Caenorhabditis elegans: one gene and its partners. The protein of the gene in region 2 interacts with the protein of the main gene of each other region in a pairwise test. Each region holds a gene or a part of one and is shown on either strand. Other genes may lie near its edges.

Region 1 (7,838 bases), on a different chromosome or scaffold from region 2:
AATTGGTATTTTTTGAATTTAAAGTGGCACAGTGTGAACTTCATTTTGCAGAGAAAGTAATGAAGCGGTACGGGGGGTAGACCAATTTATTTGTAAGAAATTAAGACCAGCAGTTATGGAGCAGTTTTAGAGCAATTTTGGAGCGGTTCTGGAGCGGTTTTGAAGCGGCTTTGGAGCGGGTTTGAAGCGCACACCTTAACCATCGAACGCTGCTAGTCCTTAATTTCGCACAAAAAATAGTCTACCCCTGCCCCACTTGAATTACTTGCCTGCTCAATTAACATTTCAGTTCTAGATCCTGCCACTAACCCAACGCCCCCTTCTGCAGTGCTCTTTTCTGATCACTTGTCAGTAGAATATAAAATACCTTTCATTCCTTCCAATTCAAATGAAACATTCCTGTAACGCTCCTATAAGACTACAAAAAATGCGATGTCACTCGACACAGGGCCCTCACCAATTGTTGTTTTGGGTGCAAGACGGATTTTTGATTGGCTCGTAATGGAGCAATACTAATAGAGGAAATGAGGTAAATGGTTTCCAGAATTTTCAAACAGTTTATAAGAATTTTGAAATCAAAGTTCAATTAGATCATTGTGAATCTGGAGGAGGTACACGACATGTCATATTTGCCCAAGTCGGATCCAATTGATCTTCATCATCCAGTGAAGGTTTATTCCAAGCGTAGTAGAATAGGTCGCTTCGAACAATGAGAAGAGCCATTGTCGAAAACTTCGACTGAAACTTTATATTTTCAGAAATCAACGTTAAAATTATCTTCTTACCTTTTTCTCGTCAACTGCAAACATTCTCAACTGTCCAGGAATTGAAACGTTCCGAATAAACTCATTTTTCGATGTAACCTTCTCAAGAATTGACACAGCAATAGCCTCGAAAATTGGTTCCACTTTGTCCTTATGATCGTTGGATCTACAGTAACCTCGAAGAATCTCTTGATCTTCTTTTGATACTTCTTTCGAGATCAATGGTTCCATTTTGACAAGCTGGAGGACTCTTGCACTAAAATAAATCGATTCTCCAATTGGTTCACCATCGTTGTCTAGAGTTTTCTCGTTTGCTTTCAGAACCTTGCATTTCTTCCATCCAGAGTTCTTTTTCAAATCTTTTATCTTTTCTACAGTGTGGCCCATAATTATGGGCCACCCTGTAGAACATCCAACATCCGTTGATCTCCGGTAAGCACTGAAATTTTCAGAATAGTTGAAGGTTTGAAAAATTTGGTTAGGTAAAGTTAATGTGCCATTGTGAATATACTTTTCTTCAAAATTTGAAAATGCATTTGTGGAGCGGACGAGATGAGCGACCGAAGATTTGTAGCGGGCCTAAACTTACCAACAGGATCCACGTCAATTTTCCATATCATCTTATTTTCATCCTTCTCAAGTGGCGCCGGAGATACGGGACCTTCAATTTCTTCGAATACACTTCCCATCATTGATTGTCTCATTTCTTTCGGAACTTCTTTCGGAACTTCTTTCGGGACTTCTTTCTTTTCTTGCTTCTGTCTTTCACTAACCCTTAAAATTTCAGATTTGTTTCAAAAGTGTTTCATGAATTTACTTTGACGGAAGCTTCTTCACTTTACCAGTCGTTTCACTTCTAACACTGAGTGCTGAATATTGTTGATTTGTACTTTTTTCCTTTTGGTGTAAGACCAGAAGCCTTGTTAAGGACAACATTTGCCAAGGATAGTTCTAGAGTTGAAAAGAAAACAAACAAATAAGCTTTCAAAAAAAAAAAATTTATTGAATTCTAACATCCAAGCTGAGTGCTATAAACCGATGGAGACCCGGTTCCTTTCTTGATTGACATTCCAGACCAAGTTCCGTCCTGAAAAATCAAATGATATTAATAGACAAACCACTTCCAATTTTGGCACTTACAATAGTGTTCTCCACTTCCTTGTTACGTTTTTCCCACGCGAAATAAGTAAGATCTTTGCGAACCATCATCAACGCCATCATTGGAATTTTTGCCTTCTTTTCATCCACTGCAAACATCCTCAACTCTCCTGGAATCATAACTTGCCGAATAAATTCATTTTTCTGGACGACTGTATTCAAAACAGCGGATGCAATCTTTTCAATGCAAATCTCGGCATTTTCCTCATGATCGCCACAACGGCAGAATGCACGAAGATTAATTTGATCGGGTTTGGAAATTTCTTTTGAAATTAACGATTCTAGTTTGACTACTTCCAAAACCCGAGCACACATTATGATCATTTCTTCTGAAAAATTCTGAAAAAAGACGGTTTGTCATCCCTAATTGAACCTTCACAGTAAATTAAAACCACGATTGAAAAAAAAAACTAACGGGCTCCGGTTCGTCGTCAGTGGTGGTGGTTGTAGTCGTACTTGTATCCTTCTCATTTTCTTTCGAAAATTTACATTTCCGAGCTTTAATTCTCGTTCGTAAAATGGAGGCCTTCTCGATAATTTCTGTCATCCTCTGATCTCCCTTGACATCAACCACTTCCACGTCAATTTTCCAACGCATTTTATTTTTTATTCCTTTTGAACCAGTTTGTACTGGGGCTGATGGACCTTCTATTTCCTGAAAAAAAACTATAACAATATTCTCTCCATTTTTCAGTACCTCAAAGGCGCTACCGTCTAGCACCTCTTTCTTTGACTCTTCTTTTAATGCTTTCTTCTTTTCAAATACAGATGGTGGTGCATTTTTCTGAACATCAGCTTGCGGAACTCCCAAATCACTTTTCACTTTTTCATATTTCTTCTCTTCTCGTTTCGTTTCAACTTGATTTTTCCGATTTGCAGAAGGTCGTTTCACGATTTTTTGTTGCTCAATTTCAGTTGTGCTCTTCTGGTTCTAGAATTAATTTTTAAAAATGAGAAAATTATTGATTTTTTAGTTTTTCGTGAAAAAAGGCTCCCGTGTAGGCACCAAAAGGCCTGCCTGCCTCATCTTAAGGTGACCTCTGCTAGCCTCGTGCCTTATTTTAAAATACTTCTGTCGTTACCGTCTTCGTCTTTGACTTTTCGAGCACTGGAGACACGGGAGCCGCACTTGGGGATGGAGTTTTTGCTGTTTCTGCTGTTTCTGGTTCCTTTCGACTATCTGGTGATTTGGTACGACCACTGCAAAGTTTCAATTATAAAATCGAGCGAAACCATCATTACAGTACCGTGACATTTTCGCGTAAAATGTAATGCCTCAAGTTAATGCATCTCACCTTACGCTGAAATCGACTGATCTACTCGCGCGGGAACTCACGTCAAGAATTTCACCCATTTTGGAAGCTTTGTCTTTGATTTTGGTTTGTCCATTTTTTAATCTGAAAATACTTTTTTTCAATGATCATGTCTGAAAGAAACTCACTTCAAAACAATGTAATGCGTAAATAAGTTTTGTCCGTTTTGTAGCGACTTTATAAAAATAGGAATAAATGCATTGAACAAGAATACTCTTCGATAAAAAAAAGAGGTTCGTGGAGAATGGAATTCACGTTCACTTTTTGATAAAAACATTCTTTATTGTGGAGTATTAATTTTTTGGTGTTTAGAGGCATGTTAGATACCTTCAGGCCTACGTGTATGCCCACCAACGCCCTATTTGTTTGCGTTGGGGAGTGAAATTAATGATAGCGCAAAATATAGTTTCAGGGTAATTGAAAGGCGTTCTTGAATATAAAATAAGGTAGATTAAATTAAGCAATTCTAGGATTTTGTTTTCGTACCTTGCACATATTAATTGCAAAGCTTCGAACACCTGGGACCCTAAACCTAATAGTATAATTACTGTTTTTGGTTTACTCCAAGAAAATTGATTTTCTCCCGACATCTGCTCATATTAATCCTTTTGGCACCGAGAGCTCATTTCTTCTCATTAATGGTCTCTGTTAGGAACAAAGATTAATTTTGTCTTCTTTTCTTCTGATTTCAAAAGTTTAAATACAACTTTCTTTTAACTTTTCAAAAGCAATTTTCCGGCTTCTCACTTTTTAACCCATTATTTGCATAACACAGAATCTTTAACATTTTTCAGACATGGCTTCCGAGTGTAAATCTTGCGAAAATCTCGTGGATCATATTAAGGAAGAGATGTTTCACATTGAGGAGCTAAGAAGTGAAATTGAACAACTTGAACAATATATTCGGAATCTTCAAATCAACTTTGAGAAAATTCAAACTGAAAATGAAATTTTGAAGACACAGTTGGAAGAAAAAGAAACGGAAGCTGAGGAAAGTCAACGACTTCTTGATGTAATCCATAAAGATCGTGATGAATGTATTGAAGAAAAAATGAAAGTTTCAAGATTTTATCGAAATGAAATCAAGAAGGTTATAGAAGAAAATGAAGCTCTACGCAAAGAAAACAATAATTTAAAAGATACATATAACAATGAAAATATCGCAAAGATCGGGAAAAATTTGGATAAATTACAAGAAGTTAAGACAGACATTTGCAAAAATAAAATCAAATTGAAAGAGGTTGACAGTGTAAGTTGGTTTTTGTTGTAAATAGAAATTCTATCGATAGATATTCTGGAGTTTGCCATGAAACTTTTATAGTGCCTAATTTTGGAAATTTGTCGAACGGAAGAGATATCGTAAGCAACGGCGTCTTCCATCTTCGTTGCAAATTTTTTATTTTCAAATTCCTCTATTCAATTGTTTCATTTCAGATCACAACGAATGCATCCGTAACTATAAAAAATCAGAAGATTGAATTATGTGAAATGGAGAAGAATGAGGATGAACTGTTTGAAACCTTCGAGTATATCGAGATAGACCAGTAGCATGGAATTCAAAGTTATTCGTTTTGAATTGCTAAATTCAATTTTTTTATTCAATTGTTATCAGAAGCTGTATAAATTAAAGAATTTATGATAGTTTAAAATAAGAACTGATGGCACGAGGAGAATATCATTATGACATGTCTTAAATTCAACTATTTAAATTTATTCATATTTATATTATATGTAATTCACCTAACTCTTGAATTTGATACCACATAGTTAATCAAAAAGTATATACATCTACCTATTTCAATTGTATTCGATTGTGGACAATATCGTATGACTTCCATACTGTCGAAAATGCCTACTTGGTCTTACCCGTTGTTTCACAACAGGTCTCTTTCAAGATGATGTTCCATGTCGTACTGAAAACTGATTCAATTTTTATTTTCCAGCAAAATATAAAAGTTCATGAAGCCCCAAAAAAGTCACTGATTGTCATTTATGGACAAACAATACATAACTTATGCCTTTGATTAGTTAAATTTTTATTTTGCTCGAGATACTCCCCCTTCAGATGTTTTTCCATTTTATAAATTGTATTAATCCCAGTAATTTACTATCACTCAATACTCTTTTTTTTTACAAGATATTGGTTCTTCTATTGCCCTTCTATTGCCCAATTGGCTCAAATGGCTCCTCAATACAAGGTCAGCTCATCGATTTCAGACAAATAACACAGTACAATTAGCACCTGGAGGCAGACAATGGAAGATAATACTTCCCAAAAGAAAGCTGACTTTTGGGAAAGGGGAGTACGGTAAGACAATGTTGAAACGCCTAGAAACCCGCTGGAATTATAGATATTTATTATTGTCTGAGAAGGACAGCTGTTTTTTCTCCAAGGTAGGCCTAAGGCCCGATTCTCCAAGATAATTGCTCCTGTTTTGTTTGAATTTCGTCCTTCACCGTACATAGTTTTTTTTCAAAATTAAGTTTCGTTTCCAGATGAATCCCAAAATCTCTGTCTACGAAAATTCCTCCAACACTTTGGAGCTGACCCAACTAAAAGCAGAAAACGAATTTCTGAAGCATGAGCTCGTGGAGCAACGAAACATTTTCGAGTCAATGCTCGGAAAAGAAAAGTTTGACTTGACTTTGGAGATCATGCTTTTGAAGAATCAGGTCGAGGAATCGTTCAAGGAAAAGAAGATGATTTTGGCTTTTTTTGATGAAAAGGACAGCGAGAAGGAGCAAATGGTTTTGAAATTTACCAGAGAAATTGATGAGCTCAAGGAAATCATCGAAGACAGTGTTTCGGATAAATTGGACTACAATGAAGAGACAAAAGCATGTCATTCGGAAATTGAAAGACTTGAAGATGAATTGAAAAACCGCAAGAGGGATCTTAGACGAAGTGCACGAGAAATGAAAGCAATGGAATCTCAAAAAGATTATTTGATGACAGAGTGTGTACAGCAAAAGCAGGCGATGAAACGATTGGAATCTAAAAATCAAAAGCTTTTGGATCATATGACAGCAACTAGTGAAGGATATCAAAGATTGTCAAGAAACAATGAAAATCTTCTGAAGGTTAGTTCTTGCGATCTTGTCATTTTCAATATTAAGTCAACTTTCAGACGAATGCATTGTTGAATGAAATGATCGGCAGATTCATGGCTCGAGATCAACGACAAGTTCAGGAAGAGGAAACTAGTGTTCTGAAAAAGTGATTTCTGAAGAACGTTCACAACAGCTTGCTCATCGCCCTTCATCGACTGTCAGACCAACTTCCTTTTGTAGTTTTCTAGTTCTTCCATCTCCCTGTAACTCCATCGATCATTCATGTCATCTCATCATTGTAATAATTCAATTTTCTAGAAATCCCTTTCCAGATAAATAAATGAATTAAACCGTATTTTATTGTGTATCTGAAAATGTCGAAACAAGCAGAACGTCATGTGCATTTCGATATCTAACGACTTTGATCTGCCTATTGTTGCAGGTGTTTTTTAAGAGCACCTAGATAACCAATAGGCCCACTACTCGATCGACAGAGTCAATAAAACGTATTGCAGTGGGAACAATTCTAAGAGGTCATTCACATTGTCCCCCAATCGGTGCTAACTATATATTTCAACTGCTACGTATAGCAGTAAAGAACATCGCCTTAATTTTTATCTATCATACACTGGCAGCCTGCCAAAAATGTTTTTTGGAAAATGATTAACCAAAACTTTGACTGAATTTTTTTTCAAAAATCTAAAACAAGTGTAAAGAGGCTAAATTTCTACTGAAAAGCGTTAATTCTTCTCTTCTTTTCTCCTTTTGTCTCTCCTGGAGAGCGTAAATACATAAAAAATTAATTTGAATTAATTTTTTCATTAAGGAAACCAACATCCTATACGACTGTATTCTTATTCCTGAAAAATTCACTGTCTCATCAAAAAAACCACAACTCTCAACCTCTTATCTTATCATTCTTGTTATCTGACTAGCTGCCATCGAATATTGTTCTAGTTGGGATCTCAGGTGTTCACTCGCGATAAATATGATATGATAAGTTGTGATATGTATTGTCGGACAGTGAATCTCTATAAAAATTCCGCATTGAATTTTAAAAACAACATAATTTGGCTAATACTGCACCTGTACAGCGAGATTTTTCAGAGTAATTACTAGTTATGCATAGGAAAATACTGTATCCTGCAAAATTCCGAGGTTCCATTTTCAGGTTCTTCTGCAGTATTTAACATGCGACGAATACCAATAATAACCAATGTCTGGCCCAAGTTTGGTCCAACTAAACTTGTGTAAAAGATTGCCAAAAGTTGACCATAGGCCAAAATTGGACTAGATCTTAACACAATTATGCCCAACTTTTGCCAAGTTCTGAACTAAGTTGGACTATGATGTGATATGATCAATACCATTTTCTGAAAACAACTATAATACAATGTCAGAAATATTTCGATTTGCTCTTTTTTTTAGATTAAATATGTCTGTAGTTTTCAGTTTTTGTCTTTCCACTTGTGAGTCATAATATATTCAATCTCGGGAGTCACTCTTCACCGTCTTGTACATTCTATCTCTAAACTCTCTTCATCCATCTCTA
Region 2 (11,550 bases):
AATTAAATACTTTAACTGGAATTTTTGGAACTAGACTAGTCTAAGAAAGGGTGCTTTCTTGGTGAGGCCTCTGTTATGACGAACTCTGTAATTTTTTCTACTACGAAGGTTCTCCGATGCCTTTCCTGCAATTACTGGAACTAGGAGGAGGCATCTCCAGCTTTGGGCTCAAGCATCACGGGTTGTCAAGGAAACATCTGAAACATCCAAAAATTTATTTATTTTTTTCACATACTACACAACTCCTTTTTCGAACTTCAATGAATATATTAGATGAAAGACGCAGAGATAACTGAGAAATTAAAACAACACTGGACAGATGAGGTTGCTAGGAGAACAAAAGGGCGTGAGATAACTCACACACGAAACTGAAGTAGAAGGGCATAATTTTCAGTTTTTTGTCTGCGTGCTCAAATTTTTTTCAATTCATCCGTCTAAATAATAACGTCATGGAATCCTTCGAATACTGGCCAAGATTGCCTGAAGAACTCAAAAGAGAAGTTATAAAAAACATGGGATTTGCTGACAGGTATTTTTTATATGTTGAAATAGACTAAAACAGGTCCACAATCACAAAAGTTCATAGTGAGACTTCACAAAAAATGCCTAAAATGTTTTCAAAACTCCATTGGCTGCGACAAAGAAAAATGGGCATAATTTCAGATTTTAGCAAAGTTTGGCTCTTTCGCAATTTCGACCCACCATAAAAAATATTTGGAAATTTTTTGTGCAGTATCATTTTGAAATTCGATGCCTACCTAGCCTACCTTCATGCCTAATTCTTTGATAACTAGTTGTTTCATCTTGCCCGCAAATTTTTTATTTTCCAGATATAACACTCGTCTGTGTGCATCTCAAGAAATGAGGCTCGTCGATAAACTGCCAACTCACCTCGATAACCTGGAATTTGTTGTAAGTAGGCTTTGAACGCTGTACATTATTTTTTAAAAAGTGTTTTCAGAATCTGATGAAGCATTCAGACAACACTACATCAGCTTGGCGGTGGATAAAATTCCATTCAAAAACATTGTCGACCTAAGAACTAACAGTAGATTTGGATTCGAGAAGTTTTCAATTCAAAATTTCTGCCGAGTTTTTGAAAACAAAAACTCCACCGTTCAACGACTGGATCTTCAGCTTTTCTATCAATCCACAAATCGATCAATTTTTGATCTTCTGGTTGCTGAAATTCAGAAACGAGAAATCAAGATCTGGGTGAAGGAAGTTCACCTGGATTGCAGTGAAGAGCGGAAGTTCTCATGGCGGAGAGTTGCAAAGCTTATGACTATTTTTAGAAATAACCACCCAAGCCAGCTATTTCTAAGAAATCTTCGAGAGGAAGACTACATCAAAATTTATAAATTGGCGTTCCAAGGTGTGCCGGACCAAACGATTATATCGACTGTGCCAAAGTTGTATGAACTCCACCTAAAATGGACGACACCGTTTATATCAGATCAATATTTGTTTCGCGGTTGTTCACCAGGTTTTGCTTGGTCACAGCTCAAGGTAAGAAAGTTTATTGTATTCCAAGGAAAGTATCTCAGCTCACGAGTTTGGCTCGTCAGAGACTTTGCAAAAAAATGACTAAAACTTATTTGCTTTACCACATATTTTGGAAAGAAATGGACTGAAAAACTTTCAGATCGACCTGTGAGAAAGCATTATTTATTGTTTTACAGCATTATAAAGCTCATGGTTGGAAGCCAGTTGGAAGCGTCTTTAAATTTAGAACAATTGTGGAAATGGACATCGATGGAATTATGCAGCTATATGATGTGCAGCCGCAATTCAGGAAGTTCCAGCATGTTCCCGACTGGGAATACGACATTTCGTTAGTGAATCTTTTTGGCTTTAAAATAAAATCATTGATATCAAATTTTCAGTGAGTTCCCAGACAAGGAATTACAAATGTTCGACACTGACATTCCGGAAAAAGTGTTCATCTGCGAACTTTTGCCAACCTACATTGCCGGCGTGATTTGCCAGAGGGATCAACTTATTTTCCAGTCATGATTTTTCCAATTAATTTTTGTCAATCTTTCATTTAAAACGTTTAAAAATAAGAATTTAATATTAATTTCATATATATAATTTGATACATAGTTTCTTTATAGTTTCCACTTCACATAATGTTTGAATCAAATTAATCGTAACTTCTATAAAAGTTTAATATCATTAATTCTTCGAGATCTGGCGTGAAATTCAACATTTTTTAAAATTATGAATTAAAAAATTGTAAACAATTTTGGTGGACTTCAAAAATGAACTTTAATTTTATGGAGAATTTATTAAAAAATAAAACTGAATAAAAATCACCAATTTGTTCATAAATCGCAAAGAAATCACATCTTAAAATTACTCAAGAAAAACTGAAACTCCAGCATTTTACAATAAATCATTTTATATTAAAAAACAAATTTCGAAAATTTTACCCAAGAAATTAAAAAAAAGCACCTAATTTGAGTTAAGAACCAAAAAAGGAGCGGTCAAACGGAAAAAAAGTCTTACAAAATTTCGATTTTTTGGAAAATGCTGAAACTCTTTGAAATAAAAACTGCTAAAAGCCTAGTCAATTGAAAGAAAATAACAAGCATTTAAGCTTCCGAGGAAGATGAAGTGGATCGTGAGCTTGAAGATTTTGAAGACGTTGATTTTGAACTTTTTGGCTTTGAGCTTCTTGATGACCTGGATTCATTCTCGGATTCAGAACCACTTCCAGACTCAGATGGCGTGGAACTTCCAGACTTTTCAGACTTGTCTTCCGACTCAAAACTCTCTTCATAACCCTTGTCAACCACAAAAGTTCCACTTCCACTAACTTCTGAGCTTCTTCTCCCGATTGATTGCTGCTTTTCCTGGCTTTGGACCCTTTCTATACCTCGCCCCTTGGCGCTTTTCATGCGTTCCTCAAATTTTCGTTTTAGACGGTGCTCCTGCGCCAGGGCCGTCTGTTTTTCCATGATTAGCGGGCCGTTGAGCACTCTGAAATTTTTGGAAGGTTTTCAAAACTTCCGAAAATTATCAAACTAACCTCTGCTTCATCTCGGCCAGCTGCCTCATGTATTCTTGAGTTGTTTCCTGCTGTTGTTGCCTGAAAATCAGGAAACTGTTTTAACATTAAAAAAAAAGAACATGAGAAAAAGAGACGCAGACAGGCAGAGCGACACGCTGTCTGTGTCTCTCTCTTTTTTTTTTGAAATTCAAACCATTTTGAGGGAGTGACCGGTTATGCGTCTGCCCGTTTTCTGGAAAAATGTTTTTTTTGCTGAATTTGACAAACCTCAACGATTTTCAAATTTTGATAATATTTTTTAAAAATAACAAGTCTTACAGTTTCTGCTTTGTCCTCATCGCAATATCCTCCTCAGTTTTGCTCCGTGCTCCCAAAAACGAGGAAATCCTCTGCTTATTATCTTCAGCCCAGAAATTCCCGTTTTTTCCCGATTTTTCAGACTTTTTCAGCTCAATTTTTGCTCGGTTGAGCTCCTCGCGAAGTTGTGTTGCGTGAGTGCTGGGCACTCGATTTTTCGAGGTTTTCGGCAAGTTTTCAGTCGATTTTTTGAATGGTTTTGGAGCCTGTTCTTGACAATTTCCGTGTCTCGAAGTTGCTGATTTACTTCTGGATGCGAATTTGAAAGGTATCGGCACAGTGGAGGGTTTTGAATTTGTGTTACGAAAGTTATCGGTGATCTGGAAAAAAAATTATATAATCACCTATTTGTCTTCAAGGCGGCCTACGCCTACTCTGAGCCCCAATACGTGCCTACCAGGCAATATCGTGCCACGTAGAAAATTAGCATGCATCCATAGAATTTGCAAAATACATAGTTTTTATGCTCCAAAAAAAACGAAATAACAAAAAAGAACTACTTATTTGGGTTTTCTGAAACTTTACCAAAATTTAAAATTTCACTCAACTTTTTTTTAAATAACTAATTTTTAGACTCACTTTTGCATGGATTTTCTCAAAATCCGGTGGCGAAGTCCGCCGGTGTAGTGAGACGGCGGAGGCGTCCATAGTGCACCGCCCGTGACGTAGGTGATGGGTTAGGTTTGACTGGGCTCGGTGGCTCTGGAATGTTGAATATTCTGACAACGAATTTGTAGATGAATATAGATGAAACAAAACTAAATTTCTAAACCAAAACATTAAATTTTTTTAATTTTTGTTTCTAAATAAAATTATTAATTGTTCAAAATTTCTAATTTTGTTTACCTTAATTCCCTTTGGAGTAGTAGCTTCTTGAATAAGAATAGTCGCTCTCATAGTTGCACTGCGGCTTCTGGCATTTGGTTTCACTGGAATTGGTGAGATATATGTTGATGGAGGTACGTACCCGAGAGGTTTTATTGAAGCTGTAAAAAAATTTGGAATGGTATTTTTTTTTGAATTTGAATTCAACATTTAATTTGCGGTAGGCAATAATCAATTTCATAATGTTCCTTTAAAATTTAAATAGCTGACTATGAGAAAAGCTAGTAATTTTTCCGGTTTATTCCAACAAAAAAAACAGTTTTCCTAAAACTTTGCAAGAAATCCTAGTTTCAATGTAAAAACCATACCCAAATTTCCTTCACTCTTCGATCGGACCATTTCATTCTGAACTTCAAACTTCCTCCGAGCCTTCGCCGCCACCTTTTTCCTCATGGCTTCTACGTATTTTTGCTCCGTCGCAAATGTATTTGTAGGCTGATATGTTGATTTGGGGACAGGTTTTGCCCGAAATTTTGTGTTTTCCAATGCTTTCTTGGCGTCCTCCTCAAGTTTTTGCTTTTCCGTAATTAGGCCGCTCATGAACTTTTTTGCGTAAGTATTTCCAGTGGATTTTCTGAAAAAAAATTATAGTTTAGGTTACATCCAGAAGTCCGCAACTAAGTTGAAATACTTCCCTTGTAAGCTACTTACCTCAAGCTCAACTGAAACGGCTTCGGTACGGTAACCTGTGGTGTATACTTTGATAGCTGATGCATAGACTTGGATCGATTCTTAGAAAGCTTTAAGTCGCCCGCTACAACTTCATCCCGAATTGTTGGAACTTCCCGTGTCGTTGACATTCCGTCCTCTAAAAAACTCTCCTCAACAACGTGTGATGACGTGGCAAATTGTGGATTTTCTGACTTAGAAGATGCCACGTGTTTCGTATTACTAGAAGATAACAGTAACCCTGATGGCATGGCGACGGAAGTGGCGATGTGTGGTGCGGAGCTGAGGTGCCGGGTCGATGCGTTTGCCAAAATTTGCCGGACTGTTGCTGACGTGGCATTTCTTGTCGAATGATGACGTGACGCGCTGGATGTTCGATGACGTGGATTTTGGAGAGTTGATGATGTAGCACTCGGAACCTGTTGACGTGAATTTTGGTGGGTTCTAGAGCTTTGATGACGTGGAATTTGATGGGATGGCGTAGCATGAACCTGCTGACGAGGATTTTGGCCAGATAAAGCCGCTACACTTTGGACTGATGACGTAACAGAGACCTGTGATGGTGCTGTAGATTCGATATTGTGGTGCCGAGAGCTTTGATGACGTGGATTCTGATGGGATGATGTAGCATGAACCTGATGACGTGGATCCTCATAAAGTGCCTCGTGGCTTTGATTGTGAGCCAACGTGGCATACTCAGTTTGACTCCAAGACTGCTCCCTCGGAGGCTCCGGTGCGGCCCGAACAGGGACTCTCACTTCTGAAGATCTCGGTTTCAGATCTAGATGACGTGGCATTTGATAGTCAGAAGGAGAAGCTTCATCTTGAAAATGACAACTCGAAGATTTTGTCACCTTATAGCTCGACCTATGCTGTGTAATTTCTGATGACGTCATCATAGTTGGCAACGGTGGGGCGCCGAGCTTCTTGGCAAGGAAGTTGGTGGTCTCCTCGTGTTTTTGACGCAAAATTGAGAGACGCTTGATGAACTCCTCATCGTTGAGTAATGATGGGTCCTGGAACGAATTTTTTGAGGTACTGTAAGAGAAGCTGAACTTACATTTTGAAGAGCGTCTAGCAAGTCCGCTGTGGCTTGTAGATTCCTCAGCACTGGTGGATCTTTCGGTGGAGCCATTTTGTGGAATATTAGGAAGGAAATGCTAGGAAATATACGAAAGTTGTGGATTTTCCATGGGGAAATCTGGAACCATTTTTTTAATGAGTTTGTTTTATTTCAAATTGTGGTAGTTTCAACAAAGATTCAAAATTTGGTGAAATTTGTTCTACGTTGTTTTTTTTTATTTTTCAATAATTTCCTCTGGTGAAAAACCTAAGCCTAATCCTAATTGTAAGCCTATAATACTAATAAATTTTGGCGCAAAAGTCAAATAATTTCCAAAAAATGTATGAAGGAAATTAAAATGGAAAATTTTAAATTTTTTTGAAAAAATTTGCATTTTAACAACTTTTAACGTCACTACGGAACACAAATTTGCTGAAATTTTTCCAAAGAGAAATTTGAATTCAAATTTTTCAATACAAAACATATATCTTGAAGATAAATTTTTAATTTTTGACAAAAAAGATTTTGCAGGAAATTTACATGCGTATTTTTAAAATAAATACGTTTGAAAACAAAAATTGTTTGAAACCAGCAACAAAAAAAAACATACAAATTCAAAAACTTACAGGAAATATACGACTACTACTACTGCCGTCAAAAACTTCTAGAGCATGTCTTCAGAAATATTATTTTCCGAAATAAATGTGTTCTCAAAATTGAGTAGAACACAAAAAGCGGGAGAGAGAGAGCAATCCGAGAAAAAGAGTTTGACAGGAGTGAGGCCCAGGTTGTTATGGAAACGTACGGCAGGTGGTAGTAGTTGTTGGTGAAGATGGGTGGCTCGGAGGGAGAGATTACGAAATAAAAGGGTAGGGTGTGGTGCATAATTAACGCGAGACAGCTTGAGATGGAATTCAGGAAATCGTTAATCTCATCTTCTACCTCCCCTTTTATTAGTACTACTAGTGGGAACTTTGTAGGTATCCAGACCTATGTAGGTCGACAACAGGGGCGAGCGGCAATTTTTTCGTCGACAAATTCGGCAAATCGGCAAATTGCCGGTTTGCCGATTTGCCGGAAATGTTCAATTTTGGCAATTAGCCGGTTTGTTTAATTGCCGAAAATTTTCAATTCCGGCAATTTTCCGGTTTGCCGATTTTTCGGTTTGCCAATGAAACTGGAATTTACAAAAAAAAGTGCAAAACAACAATTTTCCGAAAATTTTCGGCAATTGCCGTTATTCCAGCAAATTCCGGCAATTTCGAGATTTGCCAATTTGCCGGAAAATAGAAAAAAGTTGAAAACCAATAAAATGTCGAGGAGAACATTTTTCGTCAAAGAAATTTTATTTTTAATATCAAAAATCATTTATTCCACATACTAGTCTACTTCTTTTTATCAGTCTTATCCTTCTTGAAAGTCTTTTTCTCCGTCTTCTTATCGCCATCCTCTTCAAGTGTGGGGTACTCGTCCGTTTCAGGTGTGACAATAGGATCTGTGACAACCGCGTTCTGAAAATTCAACGCTAAGTTATGAAGGTTTAAGATGTTTAATTTGACCGGAAAACTATGCTCAGGCAAGCCCTCATTTACTAGTGTTTTCATTTACTTGAACGCTGGTTGATTGCCATCTAGCAGGTGAGCCTGTGGAGATACGCAGACCGCGGTATTGTCTCCCTGATTTTTTTAGGAGTCGGCGTCGCTTTGTGGACATCTCTCTTTTGTCCAATTTGTTTTGTGCAAGCCAGATAACAGATAACATCTCCTTACTAACAGAGAAATGGATGTAAGTAACATTAACGATGTACCAAGTATGCTGATATATCAGCATAGTTGGTATGTTTACAATTTTACCATCCAACCTTTATGACGTTTTGTGGCGAAAACATTAGTAAATGAGCGTCAAAGGGATTGAGCCATTGTTAGGGATTTCAAGTAAATGAGCACGCTAGTAAATGAAACGAGTCGTTTGGTGTGTACTCAATGTAGTGAGAAAAGATTGTTATTTGAAAAAAAGCGGTAGCCACATTCCCAGTTCCGCGCCGCACTATACATACGGATACATGCGGCATGAGTGAGTCCGGCGCCGGCGTCGTTGCGGCGACCTCATATAAGCCCAATTTTCCAAAAATTCTCAGCTTACCTTGTCGCCCTCGCGAAGCTTCGATTGAACTGGAACAGTCTTCTCCTTCGCTTTTTCCTTTTCCTTCGGCTTCTCCTCTTCGGTCAATTTTTCCGGTTTTTCAGGCTTATCCTCACTCGATACTGTCGTCTTTTTCTTGGTTTTGTCCGATTTTTTCGAAAGCTTTTCCGCTGACTTTTTGGACTCTGGTTTCTGAAAATTCAGACTTTGATTTGTTTTAATTTTCTTGTTGGGCAATTGGTAACCTTGTCTTCCTTGTTTGGCGGCATATTCGGGTCCTGAGTGTCCTTGCCGACTGATCTAAGCCCCGGTGGTGGAACTGGGCAGTCTGGAGCAGCATTGGCACCATTTTTGACAGAACTTGAAGCCGAGGTTGATTCAACCACAGGCTTTGTTGACTTTTGCTTCTTTTTGCCGGCACAAATCTGGAAAAGTCAATTTCAGGCAGAGTCCGGCTTAGCAGGCTTAGGTTTAGGCTTAGGTTTTGGCTTAGTGTTAGGGTTAGGCTTAGGCCCAGACCCAGAACCAGACCCAAGCTCAGGCTTAGGCTTTACCTGAGCTTTGATTTAGACCAAAGTTTAAGCACATTTTGACTCGAATAACTCACCATAATAAGAAATCCAATTGAAAAAGTGATCGAGATGAACATCAATTGAATATAATCCATTTTCGAAAATCTTCGCAAAACAACCCAACAATTGCTGCTTGTTTCTTGTTGGAATTCGGCTACAGGAAATCGAAGTAATAATCGATTTTTTGTTGGCAACTCTTTTTTTTTTGAAGAAAAATATATGAAGCAGTGGGTCACGTTTTTGAATTGCTAACTTCTTTAGCAAATTCAAAGTTTTGAAATTAAATTATTAAATTTTTCAAAAAAGGATATCACGTTTAATAAATAACTTTTTTTGGAACCTTCAAAAAAAAAACGTTCAAAAAAAGGCAATAAATTATTATGGCGAGGAGAGTGTAGATAATCCGGGCGGCTTCTCGTAATTGTTGTTTTCTCTGAAAAATTAAAAAAAAGTTTTAAATTCAAAATTGACTGAATAGGTTCTTCCATGAAATAGGAATGGTTTTTTAATTGTTAGAATTTCAATTGTATTCAGAATTTCAAAGGTTTTCAAATGCTTTTTATAATTTTCGGAATTGCGAAAATTTATCAGATTATTCAGATTTTCTAAAACTTGAAGAATTAAAAAAAAACATTTGGTAGGAGATTATTTGGCAAAAAGACTACAAACTACATTTTATGATTCATTTCAAAAAACTCACTGCTCTTGATACTCGACGGGCAACGCGAGTTTATTCCACAGTGAGCACATTGCCAAAAATGGCATGACAACCCAAACGCCGTTTGGAATCCAGAAAATCAGTGTAATACCCAAATATCCGTAGTTATCAGTGAAGAATGATGGGGTTCCTGGTGGTGGGTTTATGTACATTACAAGGTACCAGAATGTCTTCCAGAATACGAATGCACTTGTTGTGAAAGCCAGGAGCAAGGCGTGACGGGAACGTTTCAGAGCCTGAAGTTTGAGGGAAATTTTAAAAAATGGCCTGGACCCCTTTTAAATATTGTAAAAATATGAGTTGTTCATTTTTTTTTCAGAATTTCAAAAGTTTTAGAAGTATAGTAATTTTTAGAGTTTCATAAATTTCCAGATGATCAAAGTTTTAGAATTTAAAAAAAATTAAATTTTAGAAATACTTCCAACATTATTGAAAATTTCAGAATTTCATAAACGTTTCAAAATTTTCCTAACAAGGCTTGAGAATAACAATTTTCAGAATTAAAAAAAATTTCAAAACTCGAGTATGTTAGAGTTTCTTTAAAATTGTTTTCAGATTTTTTTCAATTTTTTAAAAATTTGTATTGTTAATTTTTAATTATTTTTCTAAAAAAAACATTACCAAATATACAGCTAAAAAGTTCAGAGTAATTTCAATGAGCATAACTCTTCCCGTGGAGCAAGTGACCACATCCTTGGTATCAGCATATCGAATATCCACAGATGAGTAGAGCTTCCCTGAAGTTTTTTTAAATAAAATATTGAGCTGTAAATTAGAATTTGAGTGTGAAACTAACACTCCTGTTTTTCAAAAATTTAAAAATAGGAAAAGTTGGAATTTTAGGTAATATATTAGAAAAAATTTCAAAAAAAATCACAATGGAAATAGGCACTTCGGTAGGCACCTAGGCAGGCGTCATTCATAATTTTAACTTAAACAACTTACATCCATAGAACAAGGTATTTGACACAAAACCATCCGGAGCATTTGTGTACGGGCGGAACATTGTGTAGATGACGTCAACTAGGCAGATGACTCCGGATACCAATAGCCACGTGGCAACCCATGGCGGCAAAACTGGTGGTCGGGGCTAAAAATAAGAATGTTTAGTTAATTTTTAAAAAAATCAGATTTGTAAATTGTTATATTTGTAAAAATAAACACTTCCTAAAAATTCTCTGAATTTCTCAGAATTGAAAAAAAAAGATTTCTAACAAAAAAATCAAAACTTTTTTAAACTCACCATACTGCTTGCCAATTTGATTATGGTAAGAAATAGGAAAATTCCAAAAAATAGTATTTTCCACCCTGAAAATAATTTCTTTTATTACACACAAATAGCAAAAAATCAAGGATTATTTGCACAATTAGTCAGTTTTTCAAAAGAGCACAAATCACGATGAGATCACAAGTTGATAGGAAAAGGTCAAAAAGTGATTGGAATTGGGAGATAAAAAGTAAAAAAAAACAGCTTTAACCATAATTTTAGAATATTGATAAAACAGTTAAATTCTGACTTTACTACCTAATTTCCAAAATTTTTTTATTTCTAGAATTTCCAAAATTTTCAAAATTTTTTGGAAAACTTTTAGAGTTGTTGGATAATAAAGGAGGTGCAGTCGCATTTTTTTAATTGCTTTGTAAGACTCAAAATTGTCTGAAACCACCGAATTTCATAATGAAAGTTCGTGAAAACTTCTCAAAAAAACGTTACAGCGGCTCAAAAAATGATTTAAAATTAGTTTAAATTCGAAATTTAACCGACTTGTCAATATCGCAACGGCTGGAAACTAATTGTTTAGTATATTCAAAATTAAGCGGTAATTTCAAAAAAAAAATTTCCAGCCGCTGCGGCATTGACAAATAGGGTCAAATTTCGAATTTTAACTAATTTTAGGTCATTTTTTGAGCCGCCATAAATTTTTTTGAGAACTTTTCTAGAAGTTTTATTGTGAAATTCGGTGTTTTCAATCAAATTTAAGCAATAAAAAATTTGGCTCCACCACCTTTAAATTCTTTGGAAAATCCTAAACTTCCAAAAAAGTTCCGAATTTTCCAAAAAAATTACAGACCTTCGAAAAATTTTTGAAATTCGATAATATTTAGAATTTATTTTTTATAAATTATT
Region 3 (11,229 bases), on a different chromosome or scaffold from region 2:
CTATGAACTAGTTAAATGAAAAGTTAAAGTTTTAATTCATATAGTTACTCAGACATACTCTGGATAAGCAATACTTATTGAGCCTTTAATATTAAGCTTTTTTTAATTTCATAGATGCAAAATAATAGTGTACGTCAGTCAGTACGTAATTAAACCTTTCTAATCATTAGCAAATTACTTTTTTGTTTTACGTTCGTGTTGACCGCGCAGCCGACAAAAATCCAGGTCAACATTGAGCTATTCACTTATTTAAAAAGTGTCTCTCTATATGTGCTAATCACAGTTTTGGGAGTACTACGGTGTTAAAATGCATACTTGTTGCTTTTTCAAAACTGCAGTTGCGCCATACTTGTGATTAACAACGGAAGTCAACTAGTTTATACATACATATGTTTATTCATACGTTTGAATACAATTTTTCATAGTTTCAGAATCACATGCAAAAACCAAAGAGAGCAAAACGAACGACGACAAAAAGACACAAAAGCCTAACGACAAACGAGCAGCGGTCCAACAAGTATTCGCCGAAGAAGAACATCCATCTTTCAATCAGAATACTAGACCTATATTTGCAAACTAATTTTTATTCAATGAGAAAACTGTCATCATCATGACTCTCAATTTCTCCAAAACTCATAACATCGGGTTATCGATTTCTCTCCTCATACGCATTCTCCGTCCCGCTGAAATTTGATGACTAAGTATTCATTATACATATGTTCCGCGTGACTCCTTTTTTTGCTGACTGTTTAGCTTTAGATTATCCTTTAACTTTAAAATGCACTTAACCCGCTCTCCAAAATTCTAAATAAAACACCCAAAAATACTTTAGTTCATTCATTCCGGGTTTTGAGCATCAAAATTCAAACATTTGCAAGTTCTATTTGCAAGATTTTTGTAACTTTCGTTTTGTTTAAATGCAACTTCAATTGCATCAATTATCTGTATCAATGACCTTTTAATTTGAATCGAATTCCGCACGAAGTGCACTACCCAATCTTACGTGTTTATTCACCCGTTTCATGTTTTGTCTCCCATATTTATTTTGGTGTATTTCTTTAATTTTGGATATTCAGTTTAAATTTGAACATAATAAAAATGAATGATTTATACAATATTGTTTTATCTCTGGAGGGTTTTCTGGAAATTACATATTCAATTCCTTTCTGAAGAATGAAACTTTAGTTACAGACCAATTCTATGATACTGAAATGACCACATATCACAATAAAAAATTTTCGAGCCAAAAAAGCGGATAAACTCAATTTTGACCTACTTTCGGAAAGTGTTGAATCAAAAAAATGTTTTATGTTTTAATTACGTTCGAAATTGTCATATTACGACATTTTAGTGGTTCAAAGTCTGAATATGCGACAGTGCTCTGGATATCTCTAAATGGGGCGCAAGTCCCCGCTCTTTGATTTGAAATTTAAAAAATTACTCAATTTTCCATAAAACTTATCATGATATTCAGCAATTCTCAACAAAACTATTCGAATATTTTTATAGGTGAAAAATAATTGTATTTTTTTCAATTATGATTTCTTCTCACTAGTTTTGATGTTTTTGTTCAATATTTACAACAATCATAAGATGACAGAAACAAAATGTTCCAGAAAAAACTAACACAAGTTGTTCTATGCCCGAGCTTCGTCTCTTCATGACCCATATAATCATTTTAGATTCATTGATAATGAAGAGACACAAATTACTGATAACTGAGTTGCCAGTTTTCCTTGCTCGCTCGCTTGACAATGGTTGCAATCTCTCTGTTTAAGTGAGTTTTTGATTTTTTCAAATATCAATTTCATAAAATTGTTTGATTGCAGGCCAGAAGACGAAAAAGCTCCAATTAGCCATGTAGAACATCATCCTCTTGCAGGAAATCATTGCTCAGAACATGCATGCAGAGAACAAAAACGATTCAATCTGTAAGCTTTTTCAAAAATGTTATAATCAATAATTTTTCTTGTTACAGACAGAAAAGACACTTGGTACTTTTTACCATTTGGCTAATGTTTATTATTTTTGTTGTGCCTCTGTTGTAAGTTCCTCACAGGTTTGTAACGTATTAATTAGGATTGATTATAGTACAAAACTTCAAGCGGAAAAAGTGAGTCGTAGAGCACATACCAACGAAAGAGGGATTCAAAATATTGCCAAAGAGTACATTGCTTACACCGAGAAGTAAGAATACCCTGAATAGTTTTAATTTAAAACTAGTATCATTTCAGATTCGACAAAAGCTATGCCACCAGTCAAGAGTCATTGAAACGATTAAATGCATATTACAACACCGATGAAAACATTGCCAATTGGAACATCCAAAATGAACATGGATCAGCTGAATATGGTCACAACGACATGTCGGACTGGACAGATGAGGAATTCGAGAAGACCCTTCTACCAAAATCGTTCTACAAAAGACTCCACAAAGAGGCTGAATTCATCGAGCCAATTCCAGAATCCTTGACAGCGAAGAAGGGAGAAAGCAGCTCCCCATTCCCAGACTTTTTCGACTGGAGAGACAAAAATGTTATCACCCCTGTCAAGGCACAAGGTCAGTGTGGAAGTTGCTGGGCCTTCGCTTCTACCGCCACTGTCGAGGCAGCATGGGCTATCGCACACGGTGAGAAGAGAAACTTGTCGGAGCAGACCCTTCTTGATTGCGACTTGGTTGATAACGCATGCGACGGAGGAGACGAGGACAAGGCATTCAGGTTTGTATTGAAAATTAAGAGAGTACGAGAGCCAAAATTTATGAGATAATTCTTGAGTTCCAATAATCAATTTTTCAGATACATTCATCGCAATGGACTTGCAAATGCAGTCGATCTTCCATATGTAGCTCATCGCCAAAATGGTTGTGCAGTCAACGATCACTGGAATACAACCAGAATTAAGGCAGCTTACTTCCTTCATCATGACGAGGATTCTATCATTAACTGGCTAGTGAATTTCGGGCCTGTGAATATTGGTAAGATAGATAATTGCGTGTTTTCGTATTTTTTATGTCTGTGATAGAATAAGTAAGTCAAAAATTAAAAAAAAAAAAGGACTTGTAATATTTTTTTTTCTGCACACATAATGTAGATGTCCATAATAATATCTGAAAAAAAAACAATATTCCAGGAATGGCGGTTATTCAGCCTATGAGAGCATACAAAGGAGGAGTTTTCACACCATCCGAATATGCATGCAAGAACGAGGTATACTACTTTTTCTTTGTCTTTTTTCTTATCAGAATATTATACAATTTTTCATTCTATAGAATTTACTAATCAGTATGCAACTTGATAGGTAATCGGACTGCATGCACTTCTCATCACTGGTTACGGAACAAGCAAGACTGGTGAAAAATACTGGATTGTGAAGAACAGTTGGGGAAACACTTGGGGAGTTGAACATGGTTACATCTACTTTGCACGTGGTATCAATGCGTGCGGAATTGAAGACGAGCCAATTGGAATTCTTGCTTAATTTGTGGTTTAATTCTTAACATTTCCCTTGTTAGTTTTTGAGTGTTGTTTGTATCTGAAAATTCGTTTTCTCGCAAAATTCCCTTTTACTCTGATCGCGTTTTTTTCTTGCGTTTTTCTCTTATGATGAATCTTCTTCAGTTGCCATATTACAATTTACTGTAACTGGAAAAAAGGTGCTAGAAAAAAAAATGCTCTAACGCATCCATTATGCGAAACTTGGCACATCAAACTCGATACAATGTTAGACTCTCAACTGGGGTTTCAGCTGAATTATTGTATTGGCTATGAATTCAACCGAATTTTAGTTCTTAGATACCTGTGGTGCTATAAGTTTTAAAATAGCCGAGGGATTAATGACTATGTATCGGAGCCAGAATTTTAATAGTACTTTATTGACAACTGCTTTAGTCTTAATGGGTTAGTTATGCAGACGGTTCCTACACGCCACATCTCACTGATGTTCTCTGTAACCCTGATGTAATTTTGTGTTTTATCAAGTAATTTTGTTTTTTATCAATGATTGAGTTTGTGGAATATCCGCACAAACTTTCAGATTCTGTAGATTTGGAATACTAAATAACCCTTGGCATTTCATTCAAATTTAGTGAAACATATACATACGACGTACTCGATGTCGATGGATTACTTTTAAAAAACGCAGAAATTATTTCATCCAATCAATTTCATAACAGTTTCCTATTTCCGTTCGTCAAGACTATCGGGGCAGTTGAGGCACTTTCTCAGAGATTGACGCGATAGCGCCTGGTAAATGGAAGGGGAAGGAATAAATAGAATTGAATGGTTTTGATGCATATCTATGCATATTTCGAGAATAATATGCCTTGTTCACTCACCGACTGGATTCCTTGTCTCAACTTCATCCGTTGTTCTTTTCTCCCTTGTTTCCCTTTTCAAGAGCATACAAAGCTTGGTTGACTAACTTGATGTTCTCTTCTCATCAAAAGGCCACTACCACAAACGCTTTTGAGAAAGGATAGTAGATGATGGACATTATAGGAAGTCATCTAGTAGTCGTAACCGAAGCCAATTCATCAGATTTATAGGTGTTTTCTCATCATTTGTTCTGTTTTCTTTTTGGTGATGGTGTTCTTACTAGATTTATTATTATGTGATTAAACTATGCTTTTTTTTAATTTTGTATTTTTCCAGATTTTGTTCATGAATTTTATTCTTGCGGTATTTGCAATAATTCTTTTGGTGAGTTTTATCAACTAATTTGATAGATGAAACTATTTTTTTTTGTTTCTAAATCTCCTGTAAGGAATATATCCTCGTAATATTAAAGTAACAACCCATGTTTTTTTTTCAATATTCAACCATATTTCTAAACTTTGACTTGAATGGGAATTTTTTATTGAAAAAGGTTGGCATTTCAAAATTTCTTTTTTTTTTGTAAAAACATAATTATATAATTCTTAGCATTTATTCAAAACATTTTTTCAGCAAGCCGTCCGGGGTGAAATAGACAATGCAATTGTTGGCGATCCCTCTGTAGAATGTGGAGATGATTTTTTTGAGGTAAACATTTATCATTCATGCTCTTGTGTTGGAAACTTCATTATTAAGGTAAAATTCGATACTCGAACAACTTTCCACGGGCTGGCTTTTGTGCAAAACCATTTGGATAACCCTGATTGTCGAAGTTTTGCATCGAAAACTGATTCTGCAAAAAACAGTAGCTTACGGCTGACATTCGATCAGTGCGCAATTGAAAAAAGACATTCGGTAAGTGAATTCGAGTGGATTTCCGGTTCCTGGTGGTCATGTTTCGAACAGTGGGTTATCTTGATGTCCGATCCCAATAGAAATTTATTAGAGAATCGGAAAAATACAGATACTTTAAAAAATTTTACTTTAAAAATTTACACATTTGTTCCTATTTTTCAAGTTTAAAAAGATTGTTTCACTGTAAAGTTTTATCAAGTTGACTAGAAGCATTGAAAATTTTTTGTCCTCCATATTGTCTATGTATAAATAAACAAAAAAATCTTCAATATACTTAAAAACAAAATATGTGTTATGAAAATAAAATTCGGAAAAAAATTGGAGATCCAGAGAAAATCGAGCAAAAACATTTTGGGGATATCTCCTACCCATAAGTGCCCATAGGAATTTTAAGAGAATCCATTAAAAGTATAATGCAAATTTAATTTTATTCATTGAGCTTTCACATTTTAGAAATAACAAAGCTGTTTATTCACAAAATTCACAAACATGAAATGAAAGCGTGGAATTTACAATACATAGTGGAAATAGTTAGGAAGTTAAATAAGATAATTAGGATAAATCATCAAGTAGACGACATTGTTTAGTTTGGCATTGGTGGCCATCCTCCTTGTCCGCCACCTCCGTAAGGTTGTCCACCATAACCTCCTTGCTGTCCTCCCATTGGTTGTTGTGGTCCTCCTTGGTAGGATCCGTATCCACCACCACCTCCCATGTTTCCTCCTCCCATGTTGCCTCCATAGCCACCACCTCCGTATCCACCATCTCCACCGCCTCCTCCTCCCATTCCGTAGCCGCCTCCCATATCACCACCTCCTCCGTATCCGCCACCTCCGTAGCCACCATATCCGCCGTCACCACCTCCTCCTGTAATAAAACATTTTAAGCAAAGAACAAGACCAAAATATGCAAGTTTACTTACCGTATCCTCCTCCCATGTCTCCGCCACCTCCATAGCCGCCTCCTCCCATGTCACCTCCGCCACCATATCCTCCTCCCATATCACCACCTCCACCGTATCCTCCACCACCATATCCTCCCATGTCACCGCCGCCTCCTGGAATTTTGAGAAAATATAATACAACACAGTTTGAAGCTTACCGTATCCACCACCTCCTCCCCAGTCTTGACCGAGAGCAATGAGAGCGCAAGTTGAGAGAATGAGAACAGAACGACGCATCTAAATTTTTAAACTATACATTCATACCTAGAAGTGTTCATCAAGACTAAACAACAACCACAAATAATAATTGTCAAACTGTGAAAATAGGAAAATGAGATGAATTGATGATGGCATCTTATCAAATGCTCGGCTTATATAATCGGTGAGAAGAGCCGGCTCACGAACGGTCTTAGCGGGGCGGTCGATCATAAAGAACCGGACATTGTTGAGCAAACGATCCGGCAGAATATAGAGGGAGAGAGTGAGAGGTAGGCTTCCACTGTTATTTATCAACATATCAATTGCAATCGGGGAAAATGTGGAGGGAACTGATGAAAAACTGATATGTGGACAACTTTTTGACGGGCGAACTGTTAGTACCGGAATTTAAGCTCCGGTTATGGAGGTGTTAGCTGAAAGATTTTTTGCGAGTGTTCTAGTTTCCCGAAAACTTGTCTTGTAGTTTTAATACATTCTTCAGCTTTCTTAAACAAATTTTTTCATCAAAGACAGACTGCATAGGATCTTAGGATCTTATCTTCAATCACTGAATCTATGGCGTATTCCTATGCACAATAATAATGATATTAGGTACTTGTGTATTACATATATTTTAAAAATTAATTGTTTAACTTATGAAATAAAAACGTGTGGAATGCTTTTGTTCCTAAGCTAACAATTCTTTTGTTCCTTTTGTTCCTAAGCTAACAATTCCTAAGCTTAACGAGAAAAAATGCGTATCACGTTTAATTTTTAAAATGGCGGGGATATAATTCACAAGTTTCTAATATTACACAATAAGTACATTACGTTGCTTCTTGTTGTGATAGGCGTTGAAAAATTAAAAAAAAGCACCAAAAATAATATAAAAACATTTCAGACATCGCCTCGCGGTCTCTTTCTCTCAACAAATGTAGTCGTGGCCTTCAATCCAGAATTCCTTACAAAAAACGATCGCGTGTTCAAGGTGCAATGTTTTTACATGGAAATGGAGCGTCGAATTCAAAAAGTGATTCAGATTTCGTGAGTTGTTAATGTTTAATGTTTTTGTAATTGATACATATTCCTTTCATTTTCAAATTTTTTTTTAATGAATGCATAATTTGATTTTGTTTAGTATGCCTCCACCTACAATGCACTCAAAGCAGCTTAACATGCCAGTCTGTAAATATGAGGTGTTGGATGGATCGCCAACTGGCCCACCTGTTTATTTTGCAACTGTCGGTCAGATGGTCAGTTCTAGAGATGCTGATAAATACAAACAAAAGCACACTACAACAATCATAGATCAAAAAGAAACCAATTTCAATCACCCGGTTTTTAGGTATATCACAAATGGACATGCGACACGGAGCACGAAAACACGTTCTGTATGCTTGTTCACTCGTGTTTCGTTGATGATGGAAACGGTCAAAGAGTACAGCTTTTAAACGACAAAGGGTGTGATATCAATGAATAGAGTCCAATAAGCTCAATCTCTATATTTCAGATGCGCTCTCGACAAATACCTCCTCACAAATCTTGAGTATCCCACAGACCTGATGGCGGGAAGGGAAGCCCACGTATACAAATATGCCGATAGAGATAACATGTATTTTGATTGTCAAATTTCGATCACAGTCAAAGAGCCTGGTCTTGACTATTGTGATGTAAGTTTGAAAAGACGGGAAACCAAAAACGTACAAGGAAGTAAGAAAACCACTGAAACCAAACCATAGAACAGCATACAAACTATAACTTTTGAAAGATTAAAGTGAAAAGTTAACTGTTCAGGTGCCATCATGCCCAGATCCACCGAGAAGAAGAAGATCCAACACACTACCAGCTCCCGACGATAATATTACTGCAATAGCTGCTCATATTGAATATGAAGGTTCTTCAGAAATGGTTTTAATAGAGTTAAGATGAGAATATTTTCAGACTCTGAGATAATAAGCGATTACATCATCCCCAACGATGACATCATCTCGCTGAATTGGTTGCAAAGGAATTTTGATATGAGAATTGTAAGATTGATTCAGAACAATATTTAAAAAAAAAACTTCATTATCAACTAGGAAAATTTGGATAGCCTTATAGGTGTTATGGGAGTTACCTAAAATATATCCGAGTCGTTATCAAATTTTATTGTTTTTTCCCTCAGATTTGGCAACAGAAACTGATAATTGATACAAAAACAGCGAGTTTCATAATGAGAACATAATTATTTAAATGGCAACATGCTTGCGGCAGTGCGAGACACCGTTGAAGCACGTGTTTTAGTAAAACAATTTACCTTTTAGCTAATTAAAATTTTTCAGAGCGAACTTTGCATGACAGCTATTGGGACAACACTTCTCGTTTTCCTCAACGCGTTCTTGTTTATAATCTCCTTGGTTTCTATCGTGCATGTGTGCTGTTTTCGAACGTCCCCAAAACTTGAGAAGACCAAGTCAACAATGTTATAATTTCCGTTATAATCACTTATTTTATTTATTCACACTATTCTACGTTTAATAACTTCTAATATAAGTGCAATGCTACTTCTTTGAGACTCATCTTTGAGTCTTTGAGACTCGCTTCGTTTACTGTATTATTTTTAGATAAATCTTTGGTTTATTTTATCCTTTCTTTTTTTTCTTCTTCTTTTCATACAAGTTTAGATGTCATTGAAAACGTGGTAAATATCATTGAAACGTGCGCAGAAGTAATCAAATAATTGAAACCAGTTTCCAAAATAATGTTTATTTTGTCATGGAGTTGTCATCAAGCTTGATTATTTGATTTTATCACTGCATGTCGGACTTCAAAATGTTCAGATCGTTAACAATTTCGTTGAAATTTGATAAGCTTATCTGAATATGTTTTTGGTAGACTAATCTAAGAAACACTGCTCTTTCTTCTCCATTAATTTCAATTTTGTGCACGTGAAGTAACACGTGAAAACTTCATGGTCGTATAGGTGCCACTATAGTTTCCGAGGATCGAAAATAAATGTCCTCGCAAATGGGAGACAACTGGCTACATCGCTAACACTACACTACACAGTGGCTAAATGTTATTTTAAAAATCACCCCATTGCCAGTTTAGTATAAAAGGTGTCATTAAAATCTAGGGTATTTCCTTATTCAAAGATCGACAATCCTTGTTGGGATATGTCAATCTGTTTACTTCCGGAATTTCCCGAAACGTGACAAAATGGTGATTCCATTAGGCCATTGTGATCACAGTTTCACACGGAAGTTATTCTATTGTGATGAATTTGAATATAAACGTACAGTATCCGGGTAAGCAACATCAGAAACGTTTGAGTGGGTTAGCTCGTCACTAAAAGCCAAATCCCCTAAATTCTTTCATCATATTTTTAAAAATCGTCTTATTTTTTAACTTAAATCAATCGATATGGATAGAAAAACAGTAAGTTTCTATTAACATTTAGGTATAATTTGAACAATTAATAGCTGGTATCCAAAAGGAAAATCTGTCGTGCTTTGGTGGAGGTTGGTGTTAAGGTTGCAATAATTCGGTAGCCCACAAACATTGCTAGTTTAGCCTAATTAATTTTAGAGAGTAGTTATTTAGATAACTTATTTGGTCAAAGTGATGAGCCATGAACTTCACTATTGTGTAGAAACATTATATGTTTTTGTGGACGTAATGTACGATAAGATTATTGGTAACATTTTAGTTAGTTGAGAACAGTTTTTAATGTTCTAGGTTTTTCTACCATACTTTTCAAACACAACTTAAATTTTCAGAAAATGTGGTTTTACACTAATTTTCAACAACTTTTTTGTGTGATTTGGAGAATAAAATTACCAACTTTCATGTTCACAAAAATTTAATAACATTAAGAAGAAGATAATTAAAATTGAGATAAAGCTCTGTTACAACGAACTTCTCAACCCCCGCATCCGCTCTAATTTCTTCTCTCTTGCAATCCGTCCCAATTCAGCTGCCATTCACGTGCTCGGTTCGTGGGGTGTTTCCTCGTCGAAAGCGACCTCCTCACCCCACCATTCTGCACCGCTCTCCTCTTTCTTTCCTATGCTTTCTTGCAAAGTGTCTGCGCAAAACCGTTCTTTTTCGCCTCGTTGTCTTTGTTAGTCATCACTGAGATTTCATCATCCTTGATAATAGTTTGACATTAAAGAAGAAATAGCAATGCCTGATGGTGTGTGGTGTGTTTTGATAGGTTTTGATCGGCTAAAAAACTGAAAATATTTATAGTTCACACGCGTTCGGTTTTTTGAATTCTATTTCTTTTCTTAAATTCATGTAGGTTTCACCACGTGACGCTCTGAACACTAAAGCGGAAATTTGTATCATCGGAAGAGAAGACACTTTACCCAACAGCTGGTGGGGTGATCATCGCAAAAACGCATTTCCTCGATAGTACGTTATCAATCGTCGCCATTTTTCTTGTCTTTCACCATTGACTGCCTATCATACCATTGCCGCATTTTTAAATCAAGTTCATTCGCAGGCTTGACTTTTCTTTTTTTGTCATTTATGACGCAATTGTTTCCCACTTTTAGTAGTGGTACGCTTTTGAATGTATATCACTCAAACATTTTGCAGCTCACCGCTCGTCATCCGCCTAGCGGAATGGCTTCGACGTCTGCCACACTCGATGTTCTGGAGACAAGCAAAAAATGTTTGGCTGGAAGTGCCGCAGCTGCAATTAGCAAGACTACTACAGCACCATTTGATCGTGTCAAGCTCGTTCTTCAGGTATGGAATTTACAATAGAGAGGCTTGTTGAAATACAAAAAAAAATAAATTCATTTTTCAAATTTTCAGCTTCAAAGACAAAGCGAGTTTGCCATGGCTGAGTACAATGGCATTCGGGATTGTATT

Evidence for each region.
Region 1: the proteins of famh-161 (region 2) and C17E4.2 interact in a two-hybrid assay, tested with the Caenorhabditis elegans proteins (one large-scale study listed by BioGRID).
Region 3: the proteins of famh-161 (region 2) and cut-5 interact in a two-hybrid assay, tested with the Caenorhabditis elegans proteins (one large-scale study listed by BioGRID).

What each region holds. Positions count from the first base shown.
Region 1 is NC_003279.8:9,406,583-9,414,420, forward strand, and holds C17E4.2 (Cilia- and flagella-associated protein 157), read left to right. Parts: upstream 1-5,723; 5' UTR 5,724-5,731; coding exon 5,732-6,316; intron 6,317-6,363; coding exon 6,364-6,456; 3' UTR 6,457-6,640; downstream 6,641-7,838. Other genes in the region: C17E4.1 (DUF7774 domain-containing protein), read right to left, coding at 1,774-1,851, 1,905-2,261, 2,338-2,577, 2,620-2,853, 3,005-3,122, 3,218-3,319, 3,364-3,512; C17E4.19 (uncharacterized protein), read left to right, coding at 4,032-4,484, 4,670-4,783.
Region 2 is NC_003283.11:20,527,426-20,538,975, forward strand, and holds famh-161 (Protein fam-161), read right to left. Parts: upstream 6,748-11,550; 5' UTR 6,617-6,747; intron 6,129-6,616; 5' UTR 6,063-6,128; coding exon 5,988-6,062; intron 5,944-5,987; coding exon 4,910-5,943; intron 4,833-4,909; coding exon 4,567-4,832; intron 4,360-4,566; coding exon 4,220-4,359; intron 4,076-4,219; coding exon 3,953-4,075; intron 3,694-3,952; coding exon 3,335-3,693; intron 3,095-3,334; coding exon 3,035-3,094; intron 2,986-3,034; coding exon 2,598-2,985; 3' UTR 2,271-2,597; downstream 1-2,270. Other genes in the region: Y38H6C.13 (F-box domain-containing protein), read left to right, coding at 450-529, 831-912, 962-1,039; Y38H6C.15 (uncharacterized protein), read right to left, coding at 7,376-7,501, 8,133-8,324, 8,378-8,557, 8,740-8,799; Y38H6C.16 (EXPERA domain-containing protein), read right to left, coding at 9,083-9,137, 9,405-9,658, 10,044-10,159, 10,368-10,512, 10,666-10,668.
Region 3 is NC_003284.9:10,331,622-10,342,850, reverse strand, and holds cut-5 (Cuticlin-5), read left to right. Parts: upstream 1-4,661; coding exon 4,662-4,700; intron 4,701-4,946; coding exon 4,947-5,228; intron 5,229-5,682; exon of another isoform or gene 5,683-5,811; coding exon of another isoform or gene 5,812-6,095; intron 6,096-6,150; coding exon of another isoform or gene 6,151-6,285; intron 6,286-6,329; coding exon of another isoform or gene 6,330-6,408; exon of another isoform or gene 6,409-6,413; intron 6,414-7,270; coding exon 7,271-7,413; exon of another isoform or gene 7,414-7,507; coding exon 7,508-7,622; intron 7,623-7,714; coding exon 7,715-7,830; intron 7,831-7,879; coding exon 7,880-8,039; intron 8,040-8,163; coding exon 8,164-8,263; intron 8,264-8,310; coding exon 8,311-8,396; intron 8,397-8,690; coding exon 8,691-8,837; 3' UTR 8,838-8,993; downstream 8,994-11,229. Other genes in the region: R07E3.7 (uncharacterized protein), read left to right, coding at 432-580; R07E3.1 (Pept_C1 domain-containing protein), read left to right, coding at 1,755-1,777, 1,830-1,931, 1,979-2,044, 2,092-2,187, 2,235-2,720, 2,799-2,977, 3,133-3,209, 3,301-3,480; idpa-3 (Glycine Rich Secreted Protein), read right to left, coding at 5,812-6,095, 6,151-6,285, 6,330-6,408; R07E3.4 (ADP/ATP translocase), read left to right, coding at 10,978-11,103, 11,173-11,229. UniProt on the Caenorhabditis elegans protein: Plays a role in alae formation in L1 and dauer stage larvae.